Canis lupus familiaris: one gene and its partner. The protein of the gene in region 1 purifies or fractionates together with the protein of each later gene. This does not show direct contact. Links are inferred from orthologs where the notes say so. Each region holds a gene or a part of one and is shown on either strand. Other genes may lie near its edges. The genes, in order: HMG20A and PHF14.

Evidence for each region.
Region 2: the proteins of HMG20A (region 1) and PHF14 purify together in Homo sapiens (affinity purification with mass spectrometry; 3 studies listed by BioGRID and IntAct, counting the BioPlex papers as one, with this or other methods). This does not show direct contact. The link is inferred for Canis lupus familiaris from reciprocal best matches to the Homo sapiens genes HMG20A and PHF14.

Annotation. Positions count from the first base shown.
Region 1 is NC_049251.1:39,351,450-39,357,704, forward strand, and holds the start of HMG20A (high mobility group protein 20A), read right to left. Parts: upstream 3,916-6,255; 5' UTR 3,704-3,915; coding exon of another isoform or gene 2,865-3,703; intron 1,836-2,864; coding exon of another isoform or gene 1,774-1,835; intron 1-1,773. Other genes in the region: synaptojanin-1-like, read left to right, coding at 1,774-1,835, 2,865-3,703, 5,835-5,923. UniProt on the Homo sapiens protein: Plays a role in neuronal differentiation as chromatin-associated protein. Acts as inhibitor of HMG20B. Overcomes the repressive effects of the neuronal silencer REST and induces the activation of neuronal-specific genes.
Region 2 is NC_049235.1:25,909,260-25,914,813, reverse strand, and holds part of PHF14 (PHD finger protein 14), read right to left. Parts: coding exon 5,501-5,554; intron 2,542-5,500; coding exon 2,404-2,541; intron 1-2,403. UniProt on the Homo sapiens protein: Histone-binding protein. Binds preferentially to unmodified histone H3 but can also bind to a lesser extent to histone H3 trimethylated at 'Lys-9' (H3K9me3) as well as to histone H3 monomethylated at 'Lys-27' (H3K27ac) and trimethylated at 'Lys-27' (H3K27me3).

The DNA of each region.
Region 1 (6,255 bases):
ATGACCCAAGCCAAAGGCAGACATTTAACAGACTGAGCCACCCAGGCGGCCCTATTTTTCTAATTTTGATTCTATTAAAACATACAAAGAAAACTGCAACAGAGAGCACAGAGGGGAAAAAAAAATCTTTGGAAGATAACAAGCCTTTCTAAAGAAACACTTTTTAAAGATTTAAAGAAAATAAAAGCCAGGCTCCATGGACTTGCTCTCTGTTTTTCACAGGCTTTTCTAATATTTCTTCTTTGATGGGACCAATGAAAAACTGCCACTTGTCACAAAATGTCTTCTTTCAGATATGTGGTGTATATATTACTTTCTTCAGAACAGACAGTTCTGCAAGCTGCTTGTCTTTCAGCTGCAGCAAATTTTCTTCTGTTACACTGCAATTCTTCCATGGAATAGCATAAAGACCCAATTAAAAAAAACTCCTTTGCTCTCTAGTTTCCTAAAAGCAATACTACTGTATCTCAATCAATATTTAAACTACATTTTCTCTATCTTTTTCATTTAAAAGTTCCACGATCTTTGCTTACTGCAGTAATTCCTAATACTATAGTTTAATTTGTCAGGGTGATCGTATCACATTTTCTTTTATACTTTAATAATATGGAAGACAGTGAACACTTTCTGTCCAATCAATTAATTAATACTTGCTTGAGGCAGTCTACATGTCCCTAACCTTCAATTAATAATAACATAGACATTATCGTGTCTTGCCTTTTCAATTACTGCAGAAATTCTGTAGTCTTTCAAAGGATAACTCACTGATTTTAGGGTCTTAGATTTTTTTCCCCCAATGTTTACATAAGGTTAAAACATGTATTTTTTCCCTTACTGTAATATTTAGTTTAAAACACATTTTTTCAGGGATCCCTGGGTGGCTCAGCGGTTTAGCGTCTGCCTTCGGCCCAGGGCATGCGTGATCCTGGAGATCCGGGATTGAGTCCCACACTGGGTTCCTTGCAAGGAGCCTGCTTGTCCCTCTGTCTGTGTCTCTGCTTCTGCTTCTTTTTTTTTTTTTTTAATTATTTATTTATTTATGATAGTCACAAAGAGAGAGAGAGAGAGAGAGGCAGAGACACAGGCAGAGGGAGAAGCAGGCTCCATGCACCGGGAGCCCGACGTGGGATTCGATCCCGGGTCTCCCGGATCCCGCCCTGGGCCAAAGGCAGGCGCCAAACCGATGCGCCACCCAGGGATCCCTCTGCTTCTGCTTCTGTCTCTCTGCCTCTCATGAATTAAAACAAACAAAGAACCCCACATTTTTCTAATAAATAATAATGGCTTTTTCAAAGAACTAGAATTAAGACAATTGCAAATTCAGAGGATAGAATAGGTAACAAATCCCAAAGGAAAAAACAAAACGAAACATGGGCCTTATGCTTTTAAAAATCCTTTAAAGACCTTACAGTTTACTTGATATTCTAAAATCACTACAAAAAAAATTAAAATAAAATCACTACAGTTGAGATTTCATAGGCTCCAAACGGATGGATTCCATTAGTACAAACACACACACCTGTGATACTTGAAAGGAGAAGACAAGAAAAATTGAGTGTTTATTACCACTTTACACATTGCTTCTTATAATAAAACACTGACAACACAGGAAAAAAAAAAAAAAAAGTCCTGTCTTACCCATCTTCTGTCCTCCGTGAGCCAAATGCCCTGCTTGCTTAAAACCTGAGTACCATGATCTCCGCAGCATGGTTTGCAAACAGAAAGGGCAGATACCAGGTTTTCATCGGGGCTGAAATTACTTAAATTACAAAGGTGGAGGGGGCGGGGGAATGTATCGACCTACAGCTGTCCCAGGAGCTCCGTGACAGGGACAGGTAAGAATTTTCAGGCCTGAGGAAGTAAGTGGTTTTCAGCTACAAGGCGAAAGCTGCCGCCTAAAATCAACAGGTGTAGGAGCCGAAGAGCACTCGGTATGGGTTAAGGGGACACCAAAGGCTTCACCCCTGCCAGGTGAAGATGCCTCCCCGCTCTGAGCCAACGCGAGAGTCCTGGGGGCAGGCGTGGGGCCGGCGGTCGAAGAGGCTGGGACACTTGCCTCGGGCCGGGACACCTGCTTCCGGCTGGGGCCAGGACACCTGCCTTGGGCTGGGACACCTGGCTTGGGCCGGGACACCTGGCTTGGGCCGGGACACCTGCCTCTGGCTGGGACACCTGTTTGGGCCAGGACACCTGGCTCAGGCTGGGACATCTGCTTCAGGCTCGGGCTGGGACACCTGGCCCCAGCCGAGGCACCTGGCTCCAGCTGGCTCAGGCTGGGACACTTGCCTTGGGCTTGGGCCGGGACACCTGCTTCGGGCTGGGACACCTGCTTCGGGCTCGGGCCAGGACACCTGCCTCTGGCTGGGACTCCTGCTTGGGCCAGGACACCTGGCTCAGGCCGGGACACCTGCTTGGGCCAGGACACCTGGCTCAGGCCGGGACACCTGTTTGGGCCAGGACACCTGGCTCAGGCTGGGACACCTGCTTCAGGCTCGGGCTGGGACACCTGGCCCCAGCCGAGGGACCTGGCTCCAGCTGGCTCAGGCTGGGACACTTGCCTCGGGCTTGGGCCGGGACACCTGCTTCGGGCTGGGGCCAGGACACTTGCCTCGGGCTGGGACACCTAGCTTGGGCCGGGACACCTGCTTCGGGCTCGGGCCAGGACACCTGCCTCCGGCTGGGACACCTGCTTGGGCCAGGACACCTGGCTCAGGCCGGGACACCTGCTTCAGGCTCGGGCTGGGACACCTGGCCCCAGCCGAGGCACCTGGCTCCGGCTGGGACACTTGCCTCGGGCTTGGGCCGGGACACCTGCTTCGGGCTGGGGCCAGGACACCTGGCTCAGGCTGGGGCACCTGCTTCAGGCTCGGGCTGGGACACCTGGCTCTGGCCGAGACACCTGCTTCGGGCTCGGGCCGGGACACCTGCCTCCGGCTGGGACACCTGGCTCGGGCCGGGGGCACGGAGGGCGCGCGGACGTGCCGGAGCCGAGGGGGTCTAACAGCGCCCTGCGAACACCTGGGGGAGGAGCTGTTCCCTCCTAACGCGGGGAGACAGAGCTCCCGGATCCGGGCGGGAGGCGGCGGGCGGCGGGCGGCGGGCGACGAGCCACGAGCCACGAGCCACGAGCCACCGCCGACCCTCCCGCGGCGCACACGCCCCCAACCTCAGGACGCCGCGCCCGCCGCGCCGCGCGCACCACGCCCCCGCCCCCACCGGAAGCGGCTCCGGCCGCCCCTCCCCCACCGGAAGTGGGGCGCCCCCGTTCGGGCGGCCTCAAGCCGAGCCGAACCGGCCACAACGGCCAAAGGAGACGGCGTTGGGGGGGCGCGGGGCCGCTCGGCCGTGGCCACCCCGCAGCCCGCCCTGCTTACCGGCCTGCTGGCGGCAGGGGCAGGCGGGGACGGGGCCCGCAGAGGCCCCCGCACGGAGGACAGTCCCCTGAGCCCCTCTCGGTCGCCTGCACTCCGCTCGCTGCGGCGTCTCGCGGCGGGGGAAATTCCTCCGCAGCACTTTCTTTCGCTATCTTTCCTTTCCCTTCGCCCGGCCGCTGAGCCACCTCCCCCGACGCAGCCTTCCTTGTCGCGATGGCGTTTAGAATTGCTCCGGCGAGGAGGAAAAGGGACTATTACCCCCCGTACCTTGAGAAAAACGAAGGGATTATTTTGTTCCAATGCGGCGAGGGACTACGTGATGACGCAAGGTGAGGCCGGCTTTCGCGGAGCTTCCTGGGAGATGTAGTTTTTGACGTCGCTAAGGCCTGCAGAAAGGACTCGGTAATTACGGGATGCTGGGGGCCCTTGGAAACACGTGTTTTGCACTCGACGGCAGGCTGGCCAGGGGGCTTCGGCACCGAAAGGGCGAACGACCTGCCGCCCTTTCCGTCTGGGACGGAGCGGAACCCGAATTTCCCTTGGCTTTAGCCCAAGGGCCCGGTCGTCCCGCCCTCTTCCCTCGGCCACGCCCCCGCCGGTCAGTCTGGAGCCCTCATAGGCTGATGGTCCGGAGGTGGGCGGGGCCCCGCGGTGGCCCCTCCCCCGGGCCCGGGGCGAGCCCGGGGAGACGGCCGAGCGGGGGCTCGTGCGCGTGCGCGTGCTCGCTCCGCGGGGAGCCGCGGCGGGTGCGCGCGGAGGGGCGGCGCGCGGGCCGGGAGGAGGCGGGCGCGCGGGCTGGTGGGCCGGGCGGGCGGCGGGCGGCGGGCGGCGGGAGCGCGCGGCAGGCTCGGCAGGCTCGGCGGCGGCCAGTAGTTAGTTACTTGTTAGTGTCAGTTGCTCGGCGGCGGCGGCCGCGGTCACCGGGCGGGGGACGGGCCGGCCGGCGATGGTGGTCGCCCCAGCGGCACGCGCGCCTTCCAGGTAACGGGGCCAGGGCTGCCCGCGTCCCCTCGGTCCCCTCCCCGGCGCCGGCCGGCCCGGGGGGCGAGCGCTGCCCCGGCGGAGCCCGGGCGGGGCGCGCGGGGTCGTGGGGCGGCGCCACGGGGGCGCAGGCGGCCGGTGCGTCCTGCCCGGTGCGGGCTGTGCGGCCGCCCCGAGCCCCGCCGCCCCCTGCAGCCCCCCCGACCCCCCTGCACTCCTCCCCGGGGCCCCGCCGCTCCCCTGCAACGCCCCCCCCCCCGCTGCCCTCCCCGCCGTCCTTCCCCCGTCCCCCTCTGCACCCCCCGCCGCCGTCCCGAGCCCCGTCCCCCCCTGCAGCCCTCCCCGCCGCCCCCTGCACCCTCCTCGCCTCTCCCCTGCACCTTCCCGCCGCCCCCCTGCACCCTCCCCGCCGCCCCCCTGCACCCCTCCCCGCCGCCCCCCTGCACCCCCTGCACCCTCCCCGCCGGCCCCCCGCCCCCCTCCCCGCCGTCCCGAGCCCCGCCGCCCCCCCCCTCCGCCGCCCGGAGCCCCGCCCCGGAGCTCCCCCCGCCCCCCGGCGAGGACGGCCGCCCCGGTCGCCCGGCGCCCCCCAGAGGAGGGAAAGTTGGAGCTGGCGCAGGGGCGCCCCCGGGCGCGGCGGGGCTGCCGCTGGGGAAAGTGCAGCTGCGGGGGCTGGACGCGGGCGCTGCTGCGTGTCGGCGGCCCCGCTCGGCCCCGGAGGCTCCCCCGCCCGCCCGCTCTCCTGCGGGCCGCGGCGGCTGGTCTCGTCCCTCGGTCGCCCGCGGGCTCCTGGGTCGGGGCTACTTTGCGACCCGCGGGCGGGAGGGCGGGCAGCCCCCTCCCCCCTCCCTCCCCTCCCCTCCCCTCCCCCCCCCCCCCCCCCCCCCCCCCGCCCCGGCCGGCCGAGGGCACGACTTCGGTGTCGGCCCCAGCGCTGCCCCGGACGCGCGTGGAGGCGCGGAGCCGGCCTCGTGGTGGCGGCCTCGCCCCTGGAGCCCGGCACGCCCGGCCCGCTCGCGGATCGGGGACTTCCACCCGGGCCGCCGACCTGGGCGCCTGCTGCGGGCCGCGCCCGCCCTCCCCCTCCCCCGCGGGGACCCCGACGCGCCCCCCGGCTCCGGCTCCGGCCCCCGGCGTCCGCGGACACTCGCGCGGCGCCCCGCCCCCCCCCCAGCCCCCCTCGGCGCCCGCGGCGGGCGCTCCCGGCAGGTGGGGCCGCCCCCGGCCCAGGCCCCCGCCCGGGGACTCCGGCGAGCGGGAGCAGGGTGCCTGCCATTGCCGGGGAGCTGGGCCATGACCAATTCACCAAGTATGCGAAAAACAAACCTCTTTCCGTAGCTGTCAGAAGGGGAAATATTTTATCATGTCTTTATTTTGGAGACTGTAGCTTGATTATATTACATGGGGGGGAAAAGCCTCAAGCCCTTTTCCTTGAGGCTGGTGATGTGTGGTCCTTTCCATCCCCTCTCTGCCATTTAGGAGCTGGTATTTCTGTTTGGCTGGGTCCCAGTAGGGGAAGAAAATATTTGGGCGAAAGGACAAGAGAAGATTGCTTCGAGCTGTTATGATGAGTATTCACTTTACCCAGTGATAGTGCAGAGAAAAACTTCCTTGCTGATGTTTGGGCCCCATTAACATTCTGTCAGAATCCATTTTTAAGAGTCTACCCTGAGGCCCATAAAGAAGTAATGCCACTTTATAGCTGTTTCTGACAATCACATTAAAAAATGTGTTCCTGGAATGCATTATATGTGTACTCATATAAACATTTATCTTTGTACATTTATGGTAATGTAAATATTTAAGTCGGAGAGCTTAAAAACTTTTATTTGCTTATTTGCATACATGTTTTTCAACATCTAGCAGTGCCAACCTTATTTGCCAAATAAGCATCAGCCAT
Region 2 (5,554 bases), on another chromosome or scaffold:
CTCTGTAAATTTCCCCAGCTTAGCTCAGAGATATAGACGTGTAGATCACAGATGTGAACTATTTATTTAGTTAATACTGTGTTTTGTTTCATTTGAATTTGAATACCTTTAGATACTCTCTCCAAATCACTGTAGCCCATACTAAATTTCACTGTCTTGTATATGGCTCTATCACCCATTTTCCTTTCTTTCTTTTTTTTAAAGTTATTTATTTATTTATTTAAGAGAAAGAGAGAGAGAGAGAGAGCAAGCATGCACACCAGTAGGGGAAGGGGCAGAGGGAGAAGCAGACTCTCCGCTGAGCAAGGAGCCCAATGTGAGACTTGATCTGAGATCATGACCTGAGCTGACAGCAGATATTTAACCAATTGAGCCATTCACATGCCCCTCTTTTTACTTTTTTAAAGATTTATTTAATTTAGAGTGCATGTATGCATGTGCATAAGCATGCAGGGAAGGGGGCAGAGGAAGGAGAGAGAGACTTTAGCATGCCCTGGGCTGAGTGGAGCCAGTAGCCACTTGATCTCATGGTCCCAAGATTACAGCCTGAGCTGAAACCAAGAGTCAGACCCTTAACTGACTGTGCCACCCAAGCACTCCAACTTTCCTTATCTACTGTCTACTTCCAAAAAATTGTGAATGGGGCTATACAAATGAACCCAAGCTGCTATAGTATAAAAGGTAAAGCTCTCAGTAAGTTATAAAAGAAATGGCTGCAAAGGAGGCTTCCTGATGGCAAAGCTCAGTTTTCTACAAGTACAGTAATACACTTAACCTTCAGATTCTGACTTAGTTATTCTTGGGATTTATCTGGTCTTCTAAATCTTAGTTGTATTGCCCCTCTGCACTTCTGCCCACCATTCTGAGTTGTAGTCATAACTAATAATCCACACAGCCCTATTATATAATTAATTATACTTTAAGTCTGCCTAAGAGCTGTGAAAATGTTCAATGTTTACCCAGTACCCTTCATCATTAATCAAAGTACAATTCATCAGAATCAGAGACCAGTACAAAACCCCATACCAACATATAACTGCTGTAGAACTCATTTATTCAAAAACTATATCCCTCAAAATCTACACAACAAATTTTCATCAGATTATCTTTTTCACTTGATTCCTGTCTATGAATTAAATGAGCTAGGACAAAGACCCAATATAATAAATATTTTTATAAGACACTGAAAATTTAGCCAGTAAAAGAAGGAATGCAAGAGACTTAGATATACCACAGATCCACCATGAATAGACAGTAAGAATTATCAAGCAAAACATCCAAATACCTGTCTACATAAAGAACTTAAAGAATCAACAAAACTTAGTCTCAGGACTCCTTGAAGTCTTAAAAATTATTGGAGATTTGAAAAGCTTATGTGAGTTATATTTCTAGACAGTCCCCTTTTGGAAATTAAAATAATAAAATTTTAATATATTTATTCATTTAAAAATAATTTCATTATGTTAAGATAAATAACATTTTTATTTATTAAAAATACTATAATTTACACACACAAACTCAGTGAGAAGAATGGTACTGTTTTATATCTTTGCACATCTCTTTAATGTTTAGATAGCTCACATAAAAGAGAGCTAAATTCTCAAAACTATTTCCATTCAGTATGTTATATTGCTATGTTACATAATCTCTGAAAATATCCACTATTGCTCATGAGAGAATTAAGAGTAAAAAAAAAAAAATGTATATACCATTTTCATATTGTTACAAAGATAGTTTTAACCTCATAGATCCCTTGAAAGAACATTAAGGAGCTCCCAAAACACACTTGGAAAACAACTTACTGCTTAACCTAAAAAGCCAATAAACCTGGAAGGAAAATTATAAAATTAAAAAAAAATTGTAAAGAGGCACCTGGGTGCCTGGCTCAATTGGTTAAGTATCTGCACTCAGCTGAGGTCATAATCTCAGGGTCCTGGGATTGAGCCCCAGGTCAGGTGAGCCTGCCTCCCTCTCTACCCCCTGCCCATACTCTCTCCTCTCACTCTGTCTCTCTAATAAATAAATAAATAAATAAAATCTTTAAAAACAAATTGTAAAGAGACAGAAATACAGATACTGAAGACAGAGTAATGATTTTATTTATAGAAATAGAGTGAGGTTATCCAAGATGCTGACATTTTAATGTTTTAAAACAACCTGGATTATGTTTCATTTTATCTGTCAGATCTCCCAATAAAATTTTAACATATTTTCCAAACGTTTAGCTTTAAAAATGAAAAAACTCATATTTTTTTTACTTTTGAAATTTTAGTCCAGTGATCTAGGCAAAGACTTAAAATAAGCTTAATTTCTTTTATGATGCACACCTGTTGTGTAGGACATAACAGAGTCATGAAATGCCTTATGAACATATTCACCAATGATGGGTTTAAATAAACCTACCTCTTCTGCTGCTGCCTCTGAAAGCAAACCTTCCTTCTGGGCACAGGTCACATGGAAATAGGCTCTGCACATCCCTGCATCACAGCTAATGCAAACTCCAGTTCTAGCAAAACGAGGGTCTTCACAGAAGCTACACTCCTATAATGGAATATAGGAAAACTCTCAGAATAAAAATATCTCCAGAACAAGACTTCATTCTCATACAATGCATCCATAAAATACAAATAGTGAATCAACAGCATATTAATAGAAACATTAATAATTATAGGCAAGAAGTTTATATGAAAAATTCTATGGTTCTAATGAACCAAAATTCCATTGATACAATAATGACAGTAATAATAATTTGAAGGTTTACTATGTGCTAGGCACTATTCTAAACATTTTACATATACTAATATATGCCACCATTTGCTACACTATTCCACAATAATAAGCAGAAGAGGTATTATATCCATTTTATACACAGGAAAACTGAGGTGAAGACAGTTTAAGAAATCTGCTCAAAATAACATAAAAAATAACTGCCACATCAGTATTCAAACCAGGGTAATCTCACTTTAAAGTCCATGCTCTTAACACTAGGCTACACTGATCTGAATAGAATACTGCTTGGATAATGAAAGAAAATAAGTCAGAGAAAATTTACCAGTAAATCAGAGAAAATTCACCAATTTCTTTCACCAAGAAATTGCAGCCAAAGAAATCATGCATTTTTAAAGTATCTTTCAAGTGAATTAAAAGTAATCTTAAGTAAACAATTTGCTCTGGGACATGTTACAGTCAACTATTTATATCCTTTCTGAACACAAAGAAAAAAACTATATAACTAGAAATTTAAACTACTGAAATTACTTCCAATCCCCCCAAATTTATTTATCCTTTTCACTATCCAAACCACAGAAAGAAAAAAAAATTTAGTTTTAAAATATAAACAACTCTAAGAAGAGTAATCTTCATAAAAGAAAAACCTGCTAAAAGAAAAAGAAAAAAAGAAAAACCTGCTAAATTGTGATAGATTGTCAACAGACAATTAAAGAACTGTTTAAAGTAAATATATTCTAAGTAAATTATAAAAAAGGAAAACACAAAAAGAAAATTAAAAAGTTTCAATAGACACTAAAAATGTCACTCTCACACTGTAACAGTCAGTGACTACCTGCTAGGTAGACAGCAACAAACTGACCTATCAGCAAAGAATGAAAACAGCAAGAACTCAATACAGATGTGAAAAGACACCCAAATCCTGATACTCTACTGCTTGGTTAAGGTTTGTTTGGTTTTTTTTTTCCCCAATAACAGTAGAGGGTGTATGATATAAAATATGAGCAAATAGTAATCTAAACATGAAAACAAAAAAAAGAGTGAAAGAATGAAACAGAAGGAGAGAGGAAAGGAAAGAGAGAAATGGAGAAATTATATTATTTCAAGAATGACAATAGTGCAAACAGAACCAAATTGTTCAGGATAGTTCCCAAACTAATTCAGTGTAATATGATATAGCTGAACAAGGGATTTCAGAATGAATACAAGGAAAAATTTCCTGACAATAAAGTCTTATAAGGACTATAGAACAATCTAACAAAAAAAAAGAGAATCTTCTCAATTGCTTGAAACACTTAAAATGCTAGGAAACTAAGTAACTGAGAATACAGGGGAGAAAGTAACCAGGATTAGGAAATGGATACATAGGTCTAGAAGAGCTGTCCCAGTCATAATTCACATCACTGTTTAATTTTGCAGATGAGCCAGAGAATACACAATTTTTTTTACTCCACTTCCTAATCATACTTCAAAACAAAAGCAAGTTATAATGAAAAATCAGCTGACAATTATGTATTTAATGATTCTCTTTTTCAGTTCAGAGGTCACTGCTGGTTTCAGTTATATGAAGTAGTATCTGGTTCCATTGCTTGTAGATTTATGATAAAAACGTGTGCCTACTGAAAATTACTTAAGCTAGTCCCTTCTAGGCTCTGTGTTGGTAAATTATGAAGCAGTTATCAAAAAGTAGTCCCTTTCACTTCCAACAATGGTGGACTAGGTAATTTTTATTAATCCTGCCAGAAACTAGAAATATGGACATATTAATTTTTTTTAAACTATAGATTAAAGGCATCAGAGAGATAATCTGATAATAAGAAAATTCAACAGGAATTACCCAAACTAAAGCACAAGAGTTTTGGAGTGACGCTGGAGGGAGAGCAATGGAGGTGGTAGTTAGAACCTAAGGAGGATATTCTGGATGTAACAGCAGAAACTGTCAAACTCTTGAATTTTCAATATCAGGATTTTTCAAGAATCTTTAAGTTCCCCACCGCACCTAAGGTGTTACTAACGCTATTCAAGAGTCTTCCTTCCCTATTTCCCAAAAGATAGCAACGGAAGAGAACGTATCAGTGTCTACGTCATTCTAACATGACAGGGATGTCTGTAGTAACTATATAATAAGTTTAAATTAATAACTGTATTTTTATCACTTATAATCCCAAAGCTCAAGCAATAAAAACCAATTTTTAAATAATATTTTATTTATTCATGAGAGACACAGAGAAAGAGGCAGAGACATAGGCAGAGGGAGAAGCAGGCTCCATGAAGGGAGCCCAATGCAGGACTTGATCCCGGGACTCAAGGATCATGCCTTGAGCTGAAGGCAAGACGCTCAACCGCTGAGCCATCCAGGCATCCCTAAAAACCAATTTATAAACTACTGAGGCTGAGAATCAGTTGCTAGACAGGTTATGTAGTCATTAACAAAAAAATAACAGTCCTTGAAGTTTAAGTAAAATAACAGGTGCCTCTTATACTCTTTTCATTATTTTGGCAAATTCCACTTCAAAAGTAAAGTCAGAAATTAAGTTTGTATTTGATTTGACCTAGTATGCTGAATGCCACAGAAATAGCAACAGTATCAATTATCATTTTACCCCACAGGTTGGCTTTCTGGGAAAATTACTATCAATAATAAATGATTTAGTCCTAATTGCTCTATAAGTAGTACAATTACTAATAAGCATTTCTGTACTCAAAAATGAATAAAAAGCCATATAAACAAGTAAAATTTTTCTTTTAGACAATCAAGAAAACTTCATCTCACCTTGGCACCATATTTGGAATAGTTCATTTCTGTTAGTGTTACTGGTCGTAATTT